Linked DNA regions of Drosophila melanogaster. The protein of the gene in region 4 purifies or fractionates together with the protein of the main gene of each other region. This does not show direct contact. Each region holds a gene or a part of one and is shown on either strand. Other genes may lie near its edges. The genes, in order: Cdc45, Sld5, Psf1 and Mcm5.

Region 1 (4,639 bases), on a different chromosome or scaffold from region 4:
TGTAACAATCAACCGATAGTGATAATATTTAGTGGACTGATAGATAATACAGCTCTCGGCAAATGTGAGTTTTATGACCCTGGTACTGTACGATGAAGTATGTCATCTATTGGTTAATATTTACCCGTAGGTGGTGCGTTTTATGTAGCCAATTCGTTCGGCCAATTTCTTAGCCACATTTATGTCGTTGGGTGCCCCTTTCAGAATGGCGAATCCTTGGACTGCCAGTGCCTCAAGCCAAACTCTCAGGGCTGCATCTTGCTCCAGCACATCCTCGTATTGGAATTCTCTTTTCACATCCTCGAACTCCGTTTTTCCCCAGAGTTGAGCGGGTGGCTTGTAGACCTCCTCCAAGTAATGCTTTCTGCCAGTCTCTCCAAAGTCCCTTTCCCTCAGCCAGCCTAGATCGAAGGTGCTCCTGTGCTTGTCCTGCCAGATGATCTCCAACTGTTTCCTCTCCTTGTTGTAGGCCACTTGGGACACTGGTATATTCAGCGGGCCACGATCCCAGTGACTTTTTCTTGCTCTTGTGGCGGCGTGGAAGCACTCGGCACACTGACAGTTGTCCCTAAGCCAAACTTGGGGGTACTTCAGGAGATTGCCCTGCTCCTCCTGGACTTCTACATAGTCGGGGCATAGTCGCACACAAGCAAATGTGCTCGCCTGCCGAAGAAGGCTCAGCCGAGAAATAAGTTGCCTACAGCTAAGCATTCCAGGCTCAACTGCCGAGCAATCAGGTGATGGCACAACAGGCAGGCTGGCTGATAAGCAAAGCTTCAGCTTATCGCTCGTCTTTCTCTTTGGGGAGCGAGACCACTTGCACTATGGATTGCGGCTGCTCCAACCAGCAGTCTCTTTGACTGTTCGCCGCAAAGCTTCGCCGGCCGCAGCAGAGTGAGCACTCTAAGAAAAAAGAGACCTGTTCAGTACTTTCTTGGATTTGCTCCTCGGATTCCTCCTGGTTGGTGTTCCCTGTTTTCCGGCTTCTGGGCTTCTTGCGCTGCCTGCGATGGCGCTTTTTCTTCGTTTTGACTGCTCCGTTCGATTGAGCTTGTGCATCAGTCTTGGCCTCCTGTGCTCCTTCCTCCACATGCAGCTCCGTATTCACTCCGGGAATCAGGGGAAGGAAACAGCGCCTGCACAGGGAACGCTTCACGGCCGGGGCCCTTGAAACCAGTTGACGCCATGAATTATTTGCCCATACTCCACTGGAGAAGCCACTTACATGTGCATGATAGCCTTGGTGCCCACATTGCGGCAGAGTTTGCCATAATAGGCGGCCAATTTTGGTTGATTGCCTACTGCCATTAAATTCGAGGCCTGGAACAGGTAGTTCATGCGTGAGGAGATGGCCCGCTGGGTCAGGTGCTTCATCTTGTTGTCCCTGCTCATATTCTGAGGCTTTTGTCGCACAAAGCTGGTCGACTGGTAGACTTTCGTTTTTGTGGCAATTCAAAACACATGGGCGTCGCGGTGTGACCGTATCTGGAGCGCCAAGATATTGCTCCTACTGCAATAGCAGCAACTGCAAAGAGCTCTCAAAATTCAACATTATGTGATTATAATTTCGGTTTTTGGCAGCTCAAAATTTCTGGAAATTCGCAGAATATTCTTTTCCCAGCAACGATTGTATTTCCGCGCCATTCCATTATTTCACACTGGTCACACTGGCTAAGCCAGCTGTTTCCCGCGTTTTTGATTCGCCAATTGCGATTGCCAGAAAAGCAAAAGTGGAGCGGCAGTGGGAAGCTGGAAAATAGCGCAAGCCGCAGGGAAACCCTCAAAATGCAACGCACTGCACTCATGTAGAATTCTACTTTGCATCGTAAGCGATTGGAAAGAGACCGTTGTGTCTAGACGTAGACAGATTAGGCAGACGATTGGGATTCCCGCCAGAAGTGTTCACCATGTTTGTCCAGGATCTGCGCAACGACTTTTACCGCCAGCTGGTTGGCAAGCGCATCTTGATCGTGGTCAACTACGACATCGATGCCATCTGCGCCAGTCGCATCCTGCAGGCCTTGTTCAAGTACGATCACATGCTGTACACCGTGGTGCCCATAATGGGCGTTACGGGTCTGAAGCGGGCCTATGGAGAGCACCAGGGCGACGTTAAGTACGTGGTGTTGGTGAACTGCGGCGGCTGTGTAGATATTGTGGAGCTCCTGCAGCCGTCGGACGACGTGACCTTCTTCATATGCGATTCACATCGCCCGTTGGATGTGTGTAACATCTACAGCGATCGGCAGGTGTGCATCTTGGGGGATGCCTCCTTGGAGGAGAATATTCCAGCGTTCGAGACAATTTTCTATGACTCTGAAGGTGAAGACGAGGATGAGGACGAGTCCTCTGACACGGAACAGCAGCACGACGACAGTGGTGCCGGGGAATCGGACCAGGAGGATCAGGCGCCAAGGAGCCGTAAGCTCAGTCGCCTGGAGCGGCACGAGCAACGCATCCTGAAGCAGCGAGCCCGCCGACAGTGGGAGTCTGAGCGCGACAGGATTATGTTCGAGTACACGCAGTTCAGCTACTACGGCAGGTCCGCCGCTTTGATGGTTTTTGAGTTGGCCTGGAAGCTCTCAAAAGACAACATGGACCTGCTCTGGTGGGCCATTGTGGGCATCACGGAGCAGCTGCTGCTGGGCAAGATCGAGAGTGGAGCGTATACTTTGGAGCTGGAGCAAATCCAGTCGCATGTGTCCCGACTGACGAACAAAACGAATGATCAGAACACGATGAGTGCCTCCAAGATAACCTTCGAGAATGATTTGCATCTGGTCTTGTACCGCCACTGGCCCGTCACGGAATCCATGAGGTGAGCATTGACAGTGTATTCTATGCCATTTAATCATGTAGTATAATCGTAGGTATTCCCGCTACTCCTCATGCCAGCTGAAGCTGTGGACACTGCGCGGAGAGAAGAGATTACACGAGCTGCTGCTCGAGATGGGACTTCCCTTGGTGCACGCCCGCCAAACGTACGGAGCCATGGATTTGGTGTTGCGCAAGGAGTTCTTCTCGATGGTGGAGCGCCTGGCGGAGAAGTACGACATAGCGGACATAGTTTACGGCACCTTTACGCTGAGCTACGGCTACCGCAGCAGATATGCTGCGGCGGACTACGTTTATGCCCTGCTCGCCATCATGGAGTCCGTGAAGAAGCACAAGACTCCGGAGGATTGCTTTCTGGAGGCCTCGGATGCTTTGAGTCGTCAGCACAAGCAGCTGCTGTCTGCAGGCATCGACCAGGCGAAGCTTTTGCATGCTGCTGTCTTTCGGCAGGTGCAGAGCAGCTTGGAGGCACGCCAAGTTCATTCAGCGGGCTCCTTTTTCTACTACGTTCTGCAGGAGGAACACGCGTTCTTCTCATACCCCTATGCCCTTGGACTGTTGGCTCGCTTTCTTTTGCGCGGACATGTGGCCACGAGTAGAGCCAGGCAGGCTTCGGACTTGCCGTTGATCGCAAGTTGTCCCCTGAACGCTTCGGAGGGCATGTGCTTGCTGGTAGGCATTGTCCCGGTAAGGGAAGACTCTCCGCGAAACTTCTTTGGCAAGGCCTTCGAGCAGGCGGCGCAAAAGAGTGGAGTCGCTCTATTGCAGGACTTTTTCGAGCCAGCGGTGGTGCAGCTGCGGCAGAGCGACCTCACACGCTTTCTGGACTCCCTCACGGTGCTGTTAGCCTAATCCACGCCGCTTTCTATTCTACCTGCTACCGACACATCCCTGCTCAATCATATTATGTGCTAAGCTAGTTTTATATCGCGAGACCTCACGTGTACACTTAGTTTAAGATTTTACCAAACCCTATTTATGTACGATTGTGTGTTAATAACTTTATCATTGCTCCCAGGACCACAAAATGCAAAATGTCCTTTTTCAAAAACTAATTGTAAATTTGACCTAGAATAATAAATTTAAATTAAAGTGTTTACCATGGAATTAAAAGTGTCGATTCACGTCTAAAATTTACTCGGCGCTTAAATTTATGAAAACGTATTTACCATGCTATCTATACATGCCGTGTTGGCAGTTGGACTGCCTTCTTACATTTGGTTTATTTTCTGGCTCAGAGGAAACATCATTAGCTAACCAGATTTGCGGCTTGAGCTTGCTGCGTCTGTGCGTTTTTTTTCTTTAGGGGATTAGCGCTGAGGATGCGGGCCGAACCCAAACAAGCTGTGTCGTCATAGAATACGGCATATTGTCCTGGTGTAATAGCTCTTAAAGGAGCGTCCAACTCGACAAGAAAAGTGTTACTGGGAGAGATGCTCAGCTGACAGTCCACCAATGGTTTGGTGTGCTGGAATCGAAAGCGACACCTCAAGCTGCCAGTGTCCGAAAGAATCTGTTGGGACTTGGAACACAGCCAGTTGGGCGGATCGACGGCTATGTGGGTGCTGAGAAGGGCGGGATGGTTGTGGCCAGATGCCACATAGATGGTATTGCTTGCGGCCTCTTTCCTGGCCACAAAATAGGGCTGAAGGAATGAGCTCAGACGGCACCGCTGGCCCACAGTCCATTGATGGATGCCCTCGTGGTGGCCGACAACGGCTCCACTGTCGATGTCTAGGAAGGGACCACGTTTGGAAGTGATGTACTGAAAGTGGAGGGAAACCAGATTTGAGTCCGTGGTGAA
Region 2 (3,409 bases), about 15 Mb from region 4:
TAGTCCTCGATGAGGTTACCGAATTCGGAGCCCTCCCGCGACCGCTCCTCGCGCAGGAGATCGCCGGCCGAGAGATGGGTGAATTGGAAGCGATCCACGATCCTGGAGCATTGGGTGCCCTTGCCGGCCCCGGGACCGCCCAAAACAAAGACAATCTTTGGCTTCTCTACGCTCATGATTCCGATATTGTGTGGTGGGGCTGTGGAGGTGGTGGTGATGAACCTATTGCTGGCCTTGGAATGTCGCAATTGGTGCTGCGTCAGCGCTGATGGTGCGAGACCGACTCCTGGTGAACCGCAATCGTTGGCTACTGCTCTCAACGTCGTTCGTGCCAAAGCCCGCCACATTGACGACTGAACCAAACTGAAGGCAAATTGAATGCGTGGTTTATGTGTATGCCGCCTGCAGTACACCTCACCACTGTTTTCCACTGGAAACGTAACACCCTGTGACGTCACGCACAAGCGCAGCTGTTCGCGGGCGTCCGTTCGGCAACACTGGCGCCGGCTTTAGCGGGAAGCGAACCAATTTGAATGGCATTTTATGCAGTTTACTTCCGGTTCGATATTAAATAAATTAAATTTAATTTAAATATTCTTCTACAACATTTTTAAATGTACCCTTAAACATGCAGCTTTGCAGAGTTTGATTTTTAATTTTTTTTATTATCATGTATATTACCTGCTAAATAAGTCTTTTAAATTAGCTGCGCTTGGTTGTTTTGTATCAAGTCGGCCACTAGTTGGTAGGGAATAATATGCTGGGAGCCGGCCGCCATGTCCACCTCCTCATCATCGACGCCCACGATCACAGCGGGCACTGGAAAGCAAAACAAGAGTTAAGCGGTTATCTTAATTAGATGACAAAAGGTTATTACCTGCCACATTTGCCTTAAGAAAGACATGGCTCATCAGATTGGGCGTCACAATCCTCTGCTCCGCCTCTCCTCTCTGCTGGTTGGGCATGTACTGGGTGGCTACTTTGTGGAAGTACTCATCCACATTACTGGCAAACTCCTGGGCGAACTTAGTCTCCTCGGGAGACAGACGTTTGTCATCCGGCTCACGGCTCTCCTCCTGGTTGAGGATGTGCTGCGTGAAGGTTTCGATCTTCTGCAGGCGGCAACGCAGATAACTGGCCATTATGTAGCGCACCCTCTCCAGTTCCATGGAGTGCACCACCGCTCGGAAATCGTTCTTGTCCAGATCGCGCATCTGCTCCTCCATGTGGGCCACCTGGGAGACCATCAGCTCCAGCATGTCCGTCTGGCTGGGCAGGATCTCCGGCGCACACATTTCATTTATCCACGCGGTTTCTATGATTTCCAGAACCTAGGGATATCAGAATGTGATTACTTGCGTATTAAAAAGCTGTGTTACGATTTACCTTACCTTCTGAGCTGTAATCTGTTCCATATCGTCATCATCCTCATCCTCCAGTCCGGCGCCATCGCTGACATCGATTTCTAACTGGGTTTCGGGCACGTCTTCTACATCCGACATGGTTTTATTTATTTGTTTATTATTTTGCAGATTTTGGCGCAAATTTTGGGAATCGTTGGGAATGTCACTCCAGTAATACAGTTGACGTTTTTCATCACTGTTTCATTTGTTTTTACTCCGTGTGAATGGCACGTCTAACCGTTATCGATATCACAAAAGCATGCGATGGCAGCCGCACAACAAACTGAATTCCAAAAGAATTTTAGAGTGATTGTAGAGAAGATCTTCAATCACTGGCAGGATCTCCGGCTGGCGGTGGAGCATGGCATGGGCGGACGCAATGGCCAACAGGTTGTTGCTCGTATACCCTGAAACCGTCTTCTTTTCTAACCTAATCGGAGTGTCCGTTTTGTAGGTGGCCATAGAAATCATGGACTACACCTACCAGTACTGCGTGTCCAACGAAAATATCACGCAAGGCGAACTGGTGGAGGTCCTGGAGGAGCTGATGGACCAGGAGTTTAACACCCTCTGCGACGACGACTCCATTCCGGAGATCTGCCGGAATCTGCTGCGCTACAAATTGATGGCCCAGCAGAACCAGTTTCCGCAAATAGAGGCTGAATTGAGTAAACTTCCTGCTGGCAAGGAGTGGCTGCGTCCGGATGTTAAGATCACCTACACACCCATCGATGGGGACTCCTCATCCGATGAGGACATGGACGACAGCGACGAGGAGGACGATAATGAAATGGGCCAGGGCGACGAGGAAACTCCCAGCGGCAGTGGTCGGATGACGCGATCGCAGGCACGAAAGCAGCAGGCTGAGGAGTTTGTGGAACCGGAAGACGGCTGGACCACCGTGCGAAGAAAATGAATTTCGTCGGGATGATTAAAAAGAAACCTGCTAGTTTTTTAGTTATAATACGCTGTATTTACTTCCTGGAGGTCCAGAAAACGCAGTGGTGGAATAGGTGCACGTGTCACAGGTTGGTGGAAAGTCCTGCACAGGTTGCAGTTCACTGGAGAGGCCTTCTTTGATGCGGAATCCTGGCTGACCTTGCCTTTTTGCAACTGCGACCAGGAGGTGAACTCTGTCCCCTTGGGCAGTGCCAGCTTTGGATCCACCACCGAGGCAATGGAATCAACATCCACTGTCATCGATAGATTTATGGCAGGATAGATGAGGAAGGCAAAGAACCAGGCGAAGACCAGCACCAGAAAAGGCACAAATACGGCAAAATACTTGTCCGGCAGATACGAGTGCAGACCAAACTCCACTGGCAGCAGCGCCCAAGTCACGTATACGAGGAAGAGGACCGTGAACAGCATATAGAAGGCGAAACCATAGACCGCCCTATGGGGAGTCGGAGCTGGAGTGTGTTCCGGCATTGTCGTTGCTCTCGGGGATTAGTTTCTCTTTCTTGGAGTCTCCGAACTGGTTGATGGTGTCCTGGCACAGGAGCAGGCACTCAAAGAAGGAGGTGATGGCAGTGCGCAGGCTCTTCACTTGATCCGACTGAAAGTGCACAACCAGAACATCGTTCTCCAGGCTCAAAGTTTTTTTCACGAAATTCCGGCGCGGCTCCTGGTCGACACCGAGGACTTTGTAGGCGATCTCGGCCAATCGTGGCGTCTCAAACGGCACTCTTATTATGCTAATGAGGCGAATATTTATTACTAAATTTATGTTTATTTCTTTGTTAAATGGTTAAACTTACGATTCATTTGGTTTATTTGCAATTTGTGGCATCATAAAAGTTTTAACCAATCTGAAATGCTCACATGTCAACGGAGAAAGTTAATGACAATTTATGAAGAAGAAGCATTCACCGGCTGTTTATCTCGTGAACAGCTGATTGAAGAATTCAAATGTTTAAAAATGAGCATTCTTCATAATCACATTTATGTTTTAAATTAAGCGCTTGTTAAGTTTTTGAAGTTAATAACAATGGGAAATAAGCTGT
Region 3 (3,174 bases), on a different chromosome or scaffold from region 4:
CCAAAACTGCGGTCAAAGGTGAACTTCTTGGTGAGCTTGGAGTCCAGCGTGTGGCGGGTGACCACTTCCCGTGGTCCGACCACATCCACGACTTCGGCCGAGCGGATGCAACGTTCCCGAGAATTAAGGGGTCTACAAAAGATATAGAAGATATATGTAGATCTTTTTAAGGGGTTTTGGTTACATATACAAACTCACCTGACGCGCACATACACCTGGATGTTTTGGTTGGACTTCTTTTGGGGCTGGCGCGACGTATTCCCACCAGATATGTCCATATTGATCAATTGAAACAATTAATTGTGGTTTTAGCGCGTACAGTCCAAAAAATGACGCCTGTCGCGTGTATCGGTATGCGTGTGTGTGTGTGTTTGATTCCTGGAAATCCTTGTGCTTCACCTTCCACCGAGCCGAATGCTGATAACTGTAACTACTATTTACAGAAGGCTGGCGTGGAAAACCAATTTTCGCACTATTTCCAATGAGAACAGAGAGAAGCAGCGTCTTCAGTTGTCCGTTCAATTTTAAAATAATGCGCAAATAGTGTGACCGCAACACGGCACCCTGAAAATACCAACATCGAAAAATACAAGTATTGGAAAACTACAGAATGTTCAAATTATTTGAATTAAATAATTTTTTATCTTTTATTTGTTCTACATTAAACCATTAAATATGTATAGTAAACTCTTATTATCAAATAATCCCGACTAGGCTATGTGGTGAAGAATGCCCTGCCTCACGAGAGACTCCACCTGAGCTCGGGGCAGATAGTGCTGGCTGTTCTTCTTCAGGTGGATCACCTCGCCGTCGTCCAGCTCGAACTTCCCATAGTCCTCCATGCAGCGCACCTCGATGTAAAGTGACTTGGGCGGACGCAGATTGTTGGTTAGATCAATGGGCAAGCCCTGGTTGTAGCCCGCACTGCACATGTAGGCAGCCAGGGACTTGGAGTAGTTGTTGAAGAAGGTGACCTCCGGTTCGCAGAGTGCCTGCTTGATGTCCCCGGGGATAATGGGTCCAAACTCCCACCTGAGGGCCTTGATCCTCCTGCACCGCTCGTATAGGTAGGCCAGCAGGCACCTCTTGTTCCTCTGGAGAGCTGCGTGCCTGAAGTTGAGCAGGGGCCACAGACTGCGATCCCCGGAAGCATTGTAGCTGGAGGCCTGGGCCACGTTCTCCTCGAATATCGCCTTGATCTCCTCCAGCACCTGGCGCACCCCATCGTCGTCGAAGGCGGGAATTGTCTGCGACGATCTCTCCAGTTCTTTTAGCAGGTCGAAGGCTTTCTCGCCGAACATTTTTGTTTGTCGGCTCATTGTTGATCCTCTCTGTTTTTCTTTGGTTTGGGGATCTAGTGATGGATTCGCGCCAAAATGTTCGTCGACTTGTGGTATCGATACTTGGTATTTCTTTTGGTATATTTCAAAAAATAACAAAAATTTCATCCTCAGTAGCCATGTTCCTTTAAAATAGATTTGAAACGGTGATTTATCAAAATTTAGCTTACGAGGCCCAAATTATGCCGTCCTAAGAGGAAATGCCATCCTGGTTAGATTGGTGCAACTGCGGGAGTGGAGTACCACATGCAAGTAAGTGGGTGTGAACATCTTAAAGTATCGAATATATTAGCTATTCGCTATTCGGCTATTTAGCCAACTGGTCCATCCCTATCACACACGTAGTGGCAAAGAGTTGGCCCAAAAATCAGATGAACTGCAATTTGTGTGTTAAATCAATAAAGAACGAGTAACCTCCTGATTGTGTGGCTGATTTTGGTGCTGTGCGTGTGTGACAGCGGTGATAGCGACAGTGAATCCCCGATTACAGGAAGTGAGCAGAGAAAGAGGAAGCAGCACTGGCTATAGCTATTAACCCTTATCCCATTTTTAACCCTTAGTCTTCGAAGTGGGCCAGCCACCGCCCCCGGAAATCATGGACAGCAGGGAGGAGAACGCCGTGTACGATGACATGAACCTGTACATCGCACCGCAGAGCTTCATCATCGAGCCGAATGGAGGAGATGAGTTGCTGGTCATCGGGCGCCACGACAAAGTCACCAGGGTTCAGCCAGCGAGCGGAGGTCTTGTGGCCAACCTTCGCCCCACCAGGAGGATTTGTGGTGTGCTGGGAACCATTCACCTACTGAGCTGCGACTACCTTCTGGTGGCGACCCACCGCCTCTTCGTGGGCGTGCTCAATGGCGCAGTTGTGTGGAGATTAGCGGGCTATGACATCATACCTTACATTCCGAATTCCTTCCAGCGCAAGGAGAACGAAAACTACTTGCGACTGCTACGCCAGACACTTGACACCAAGTTCTTTTACTTCTCCTACCGCTACGACCTTACCAATTCGCTGCAGCGACAGCGGGAGGTGGCACAATCGCGGCCTGAAGTATCCGGGTTGCTCCAGCGCGCTGAGCAGCGATTCGTTTGGAATGGCTATGTGCTGCGGCAGTTCAACTGCGATAAGATGGAGAAGTTCCAGCTGCCACTCGTCCTGGGCTTCGTGTCTATCAACCAGGTGCAGATCAACGGGCAGACATTCTTCTGGAGCATCATCACCAGGCGTTCCGTGCAGCGGGCGGGCACACGGCTCTTCTGCCGAGGCAGCGACGAGCAGGGCCATGTTGCGAACTTCGTAGAGACCGAGCAAATAGTGGAGTTCAACGGGCAGCTGACTGGATTCGTGCAGACACGAGGCAGCATGCCCTTCCACTGGCACCAGCTGCCCAATTTGCGCTATAAGCCACGACCCGTTCTGGTGCCGGGCAAGGATCATTTGGCCGCCTGCGGGCTCCACTTTAAGGAACAGATCCGGCTGTATGGCAACAATGTGGCTGTGAATCTAGTGGATCACAAAGGTGCCGAAGGCGAGCTCGAGGCGACCTATGCCCGCCTGGTTCGAGAAATGGGAAATCCACAAGTGCGATACGAGTCTTTCGACTTCCACAGCGAGTGCCGTAAGATGCGCTGGGACCGGCTGAACATACTCATCGATCGCCTCGCCCATGAGCAGGATCAGTTCGGTGTCTATCATGTCTTCGACGACGGCAAATTGGTGTCCACGCAGACTGGTGTCTTCCGAACGAATTGTATCGACTGTCTCGATAGGACGAACGTCGTGCAGAGCATGCTGGCCCGCAGGTCCCTCACTGCGGTGCTCCAGAAG
Region 4 (5,233 bases):
ATTTGCCATTGTTTTTAAATGGCCAAAAGCGAGCATACGTAACACGCTTACGTATTTTTGAAAATTCGTGCACATTTTGAGTACATTTCAGTTTTCAAATGTATGTAAGTACATAGATGTGCATGCGCAAATATACTAATTGAGTTTTGTATAAAAGGAAGTAATAAACGTTCTCAAACAGAGGAAAAAATATTTTTAAGAAATTGGCAAGTGGCCAAGGCAATATGATTGGTTTTTGTGATTTGTCCGAATGACGTAGGCAAACACAGTCGAATGTAGAGCGAAATTGTCGGTTTGCGCGAAAATTTGGAGGCCGACCAAAGGGTCTATGTGTTTCGACCAAGCATTATCAACAAACAGAATTTAGACATTGCTTATAATCTCATTTTTTAAATGTAAACAATCATAAATATTTACCAAACATATAGTCTGCCGGCTCGACTGACTTATGCACTTGAAATACCTAGGATTTCCCACTACAAGTATCAGAGTATCTATTCTGTAAACTTCTAGCTATTAAATACATCACTGAATTATTGTTCAAATATTTAACAGAATTTGAATAAATAAAATAATGATTCAATTTGGTTTATTGGGAAAGAATGTAGTTTATCTTAATACTATAAATGGAAATACAAATAATGTGACGAAATGATTGAAGACATATTCAACGATGGACAAGAAATGAAGTGATTAACAGTGTTTAGCAAATTCGATAGAGCATCTTCCGTTGCATCCGGTGCTGCAGCTCTCCACGTCGGATCATGGTATGAATTACCTTCATTACCGTGCGTTCTTCGTATTTCTGACGCAAAAAGTCCTATGAAAAGCAAGCATTATAAATAAAAATTGTTCATTCGATTCATAAGACTTCTGTGCTTACCTGTAAGATATTCTGCTCCGATACTTGAGATCCAATTGCAAAGCGACGTTTCAATTGCTTTTCGATGCGGTTGAGTGTTTCCTGGTCCTCCTCGGTCGTGAATCCTTCGGCTCCAGCCAAGCTGCCAGTCATCGCAGCATCAAGGGTAGACACTTGGAAAAGTCGAAGTGCTTCGTTCACGTGCTCATCTGTGGCGAACGGTTGCAAACGAATCTTTGCCAGCGACTCCGAAATGCGGATGACAGCCTCCAACTGACGCACAGTGATGGGAATGCTTAGCCGCTTGTCAGATGCCTTCTCCTGCTGGCCGGCTCCACTGCGCATAAGCACGTAGCGGCTCTTTAGCTTCTCGCCGGCAGCTTCGCTCAGGCGCGGACCGCAATGAGTTCGGCAGTAGTGAATATACTTCTTGAACGTCGACAGCGATATCTCACCCTCAGCCGGCTCTGAAGGCGCTGACTTGTTAGAGCTCAGATGCACGTTGATGATGTGCTTGGCCAGCGTAATGTCCCGCGACTCATCGTGAATATCCTTTACAATGAAAATCATGTCGAAACGGGAGAGAATTGTGGGCATAAAGTCAATGTTCTCCTCGCCCTTGGTGTCGTCCCATCGACCGAAAATGGAGTTGGCAGCTGCCAAGACCGAACAGCGTGAGTTCAAGGTGGTCGTGATGCCGGCTTTGGCAATGGATATTGTCTGCTGTTCCATGGCCTCGTGAATGGCCACACGATCATCCTCTCGCATTTTGTCGAACTCATCAATACAAACCACGCCTCCATCGGCCAGCACCATGGCTCCACCCTCCATGACAAAGTTACGCTAAAGATTAATGTATCATTTAATTTGTAAGGATTAGGTGTGCAATGTTTTTTCTCACCGTTTGAGGATCCTTCATAACCGAAGCCGTGAGACCAGCCGCACTGGAGCCTTTGCCCGAAGTGTAGACTGCTATGGGTGCCACCTTCTCCACAAACTTTAACAACTGTGACTTGGCAGTACCAGGATCTCCCAGCAGTAAGACGTTAATGTCGCCTCGACGGCACAGACCATCCGGTAAACGCTTACGAGACCCGCCAAAAAGCATACAAGTTATAGCTTTCTTGATATCCCGAGAGCCGAAGATGCTGGGCGCCAGTGACTGTGAGAGACGTTCGTAGATGTCCCCAGAGGCGGCCATTCGCCGGAAGTGCTCCTCCTCATCGGATGTGATGTTGCTGTATCGGGAGATGGCACCCGCACCCTCTGAGTCGACGGTGATGCCCACCACCCTCATGTAAGGAGCACGGACTCCAACGACGGCTTTCTCGCGACCATCCCGACGCGAGGGTTTGCCCACCTTGCGAATGGAGTATATGCCCTGGATAAGCACGCGATTGCCGGGCACCACGCGTTCACAGAGCGAGCGATCGCAGAAGAGCTGCAAGTGGCGGGGAATCTCACCCTGTGGCACAAAGTCGGGGAGCTCTTGCAACTTAAGGGTCTGGAAATCGACGCACTTGCACTTGTCCGGCATGATGAAGAAGGGGTCCAGCGGGCACTTGGGTCTGCCCGCCTGCTCCGTGTTGCACTTCCTGGGTAGGGCGTAGCCCTCCAAACCTGGATTCACTTTGAGATTCGGTATGACCGTGCTGCAGGACAGGCATTGGATAGACATCCGCGTAGCCTTGGCACTTATTCCTGAGGCTGCGACAATGATTCCGGCGATCTTAACCAGCTTGGATACGCAGTCCGACTTCAACTGTCGTATGTTGGTGGGATTCGCATTGGAGCTCAGAAGAATCTGGATGTCGTGCATATGTTCCTCGTGCTCCGGCCGGGGAGCTGTGATCTCGTCGGCTACCTCCCGGGCAGCCTCCTCGAAGATTTCCAAATGCTCCGTCGGCTGCTTGTTCAGCTTGTCAGCCAAGGTCTCATCGAAGCCCACCAAATCCTCCATCTCAATCTCCAAGAAGTAGCGACCATTAAGATAGTTCCTCTTCAGGGTGTCACTGCAGGGGGATTACCTTAAATGGGGTTCAGATGAGGAGATGCAGTTCACTTACCGGTATTTGTAGAAAAAGTTCTCCTCGTTAAATGTCCGGATGAACTCCTTGTACTTCTTCTTTACCGCCTGCAAGTTGATTTGCGCATCCTGCTGGTTATCTCCGCCGAAATTGTCCGAAAAGAACACACCCGCATCGTCGAAGCCTTCCATTTTGATAGGGTAAACAAAGTTAAAAAGAAGAACTGAGGTAATAGACGCTACTTCTGCTTCGCTTTATATTTCGTTTTTTAGTAAATGCGATGTGCGAATATTTTGCCGCCAAAATTACCGGGCAAGCGGTAGCTAGAGATGAGCACTTACCAGTAAAACTATCGGATCTTATTTACAACTATCGATGAAACGTGTTTCCCAGTTTATGTATTTTTGTTAGCAGTGAAATAGGACCAATACAACAAGCATTGCAGCAGTTAATAAACCATGAACGTATTTATTATATCTTATTGATGTTATGACAAAGATTATTTTACTCGATTATATGGAACATGCCTTAGACAACTGACTCCAATTCTTCCCAGCTCAAAAATACTAAAATTTCAGAAAAATCCAATAATATCGAGCTGGCGATATTTGTTTCCAGCTTTTGTGCGGGGGCAGTGTTGATAAGCGACCTTTTAAACTAGCGTGCTGTAGAAACAGTCCCATCATTTAGTCGCCAATTTTTCGACGTGAAAAACCAAAGAGACGCCGAAGAAATTAGAAAATGGTAAGTTTTGGTCAAAATGTGACGGCAATCGACAGGCCAGTAGCTGACGAACCCGATTCGCAGGCCAGCACAGACATTCCCATGGAGGCAGCTGTGGAATCGGCGACCGGCATCACGCCCAATTCAAATGCGAACTCAAACAATGTGGCGAAGAAGCTGCCCGCGGAGGGCTCCACCGGTGATAATCCCAATGCCAACGCCGACGAGATGACGTCCCGCGACTATTACTTTGACTCCTATGCCCATTTCGGGATCCACGAGGAGATGCTCAAGGACGAAGTGCGCACCGTCACATACCGCAACGCCATGTACCACAACAAGCATCTGTTTCAGGGCAAGGTAGGGTTAACTTCCGGGGTTTCCCCATTTTTCGTAGCCCTTCTCACCGGGGTATCTCCTCTTTGCAGACCGTACTGGACGTGGGTTGCGGTACCGGCATTCTCTCCATGTTCGCTGCCAAAGCCGGTGCTGCTCAGGTGATTGCCGTCGACTGCTCCAACATCATTGAGTTTGCCCGCCAAGTGGTCATTGACAACAATCTGCAGGATGTAATCACGGTTGTCAAGGGCAAGATTGAGGAGATTGAGCTTCCAAATGGTATTGAGGGAGTGGACATTATTATTTCCGAGTGGATGGGGTAGGTTTTCATTTGTAGTTAAGCTTTTAAAAAGTGGTCATATTTGATTTAGCATATTAACCATTTTAATTTCTTTCCTTAATTTAGTTACTGCCTGTTCTACGAATCCATGCTGGATACAGTGTTGTACGCTCGGGACAAGTGGCTGAAGAAGGACGGCATGATGTTCCCAGATAGGGGCACGCTGTATATCACGGCCATCGAGGACAGACAGTACAAGGACGAGAAGATCAACTGGTGGGACGATGTCTACGGCTTCGACATGAGCTGCATTCGTAAGGTGGCCGTGACCGAGCCACTGGTCGACGTGGTCGATCCCAAGCAAGTGGTATCCACATCTTGCATGGTCAAGGAGGTGGATCTGTATACCGTGCAAAAGGCCGATCTTAACTTCTCGTCCAAGTTCAGCCTATGCATCAAGCGCAACGACTTCGTGCAGGCATTAGTCACCTACTTTAATATAGAGTTCACCAAGTGCCACAAGCGTCTTGGGTTCAGTACGTCACCAGACTCCACATACACGCATTGGAAGCAAACCGTGTTCTACCTCGATGACCACATGACGGCAAAGAAGAACGAGGAGATCACTGGCACGTTCCAGATGAAGCCCAACGAGCGGAACAACCGTGACCTGGACTTCGTCATCGACATTAATTTCAAGGGCGAATTGTCTCAAATTCAGGAGTCGAACACATACCGCATGCGCTAGGGGCAGCCATAACCAATCCGATCTGCCATTTGGGATGGGGCTCAGAGCCCTGCAGCGAGGATACATACAATGACTAGACGTAAGGTTTATTCCAGTGCGAAATGTGCAACGAATTCGTGTTGCGTCTTCTCCTAAGTTTAAAGTGTACCTTTGTTAGTATACATAATATTTTACACTCGTGCGCCTGTTTAAATTATTATTCGAACATACTTCTAAGCAAGTTGTACAGCAGCACGTCAATTCTCACATAATAA

What was found.
Region 1: the proteins of Mcm5 (region 4) and Cdc45 purify together in Drosophila melanogaster (affinity purification with western blotting; 4 studies listed by BioGRID, with this or other methods). This does not show direct contact.
Region 2: the proteins of Mcm5 (region 4) and Sld5 purify together in Drosophila melanogaster (affinity purification with western blotting; 2 studies listed by BioGRID, with this or other methods). This does not show direct contact.
Region 3: the proteins of Mcm5 (region 4) and Psf1 purify together in Drosophila melanogaster (affinity purification with western blotting; 2 studies listed by BioGRID, with this or other methods). This does not show direct contact.

Annotation. Positions count from the first base shown.
Region 1 is NC_004354.4:1,027,596-1,032,234, reverse strand, and holds Cdc45 (cell division cycle 45), read left to right. Parts: upstream 1-1,678; 5' UTR 1,679-1,907; coding exon 1,908-2,818; intron 2,819-2,870; coding exon 2,871-3,687; 3' UTR 3,688-3,944; downstream 3,945-4,639. Other genes in the region: CG14630 (uncharacterized protein), read right to left, coding at 125-711; Rpp21 (ribonuclease P/MRP subunit p21), read right to left, coding at 782-1,166, 1,226-1,392; CG3021 (uncharacterized protein), read right to left, coding at 4,085-4,600.
Region 2 is NT_033777.3:26,054,990-26,058,398, forward strand, and holds Sld5 (Sld5), read right to left. Parts: upstream 1,559-3,409; 5' UTR 1,503-1,558; coding exon 1,392-1,502; intron 1,332-1,391; coding exon 878-1,331; intron 820-877; coding exon 698-819; 3' UTR 668-697; downstream 1-667. Other genes in the region: Cmpk (Cytidine/uridine monophosphate kinase 1), read right to left, coding at 1-347; CG14543 (uncharacterized protein), read left to right, coding at 1,668-1,793, 1,858-2,319; PIG-P (phosphatidylinositol glycan anchor biosynthesis class P), read right to left, coding at 2,358-2,834; Tcs6 (Threonyl-carbamoyl synthesis 6), read right to left, coding at 2,800-3,100, 3,164-3,198.
Region 3 is NT_037436.4:1,246,356-1,249,529, forward strand, and holds Psf1 (partner of Sld five 1), read right to left. Parts: upstream 1,323-3,174; 5' UTR 1,320-1,322; coding exon 711-1,319; 3' UTR 631-710; downstream 1-630. Other genes in the region: CG32318 (uncharacterized protein), read right to left, coding at 1-132, 199-278; Sac1 phosphatase, read left to right, coding at 1,936-3,174.
Region 4 is NT_033777.3:10,786,512-10,791,744, reverse strand, and holds Mcm5 (minichromosome maintenance 5), read right to left. Parts: upstream 3,222-5,233; 5' UTR 3,081-3,221; coding exon 2,929-3,080; intron 2,875-2,928; coding exon 1,764-2,874; intron 1,706-1,763; coding exon 884-1,705; intron 821-883; coding exon 704-820; 3' UTR 595-703; downstream 1-594. Other genes in the region: Art1 (arginine methyltransferase 1), read left to right, coding at 3,631-3,633, 3,697-3,972, 4,041-4,270, 4,358-4,979. UniProt on the Drosophila melanogaster protein: Acts as a component of the Mcm2-7 complex (Mcm complex) which is the putative replicative helicase essential for 'once per cell cycle' DNA replication initiation and elongation in eukaryotic cells.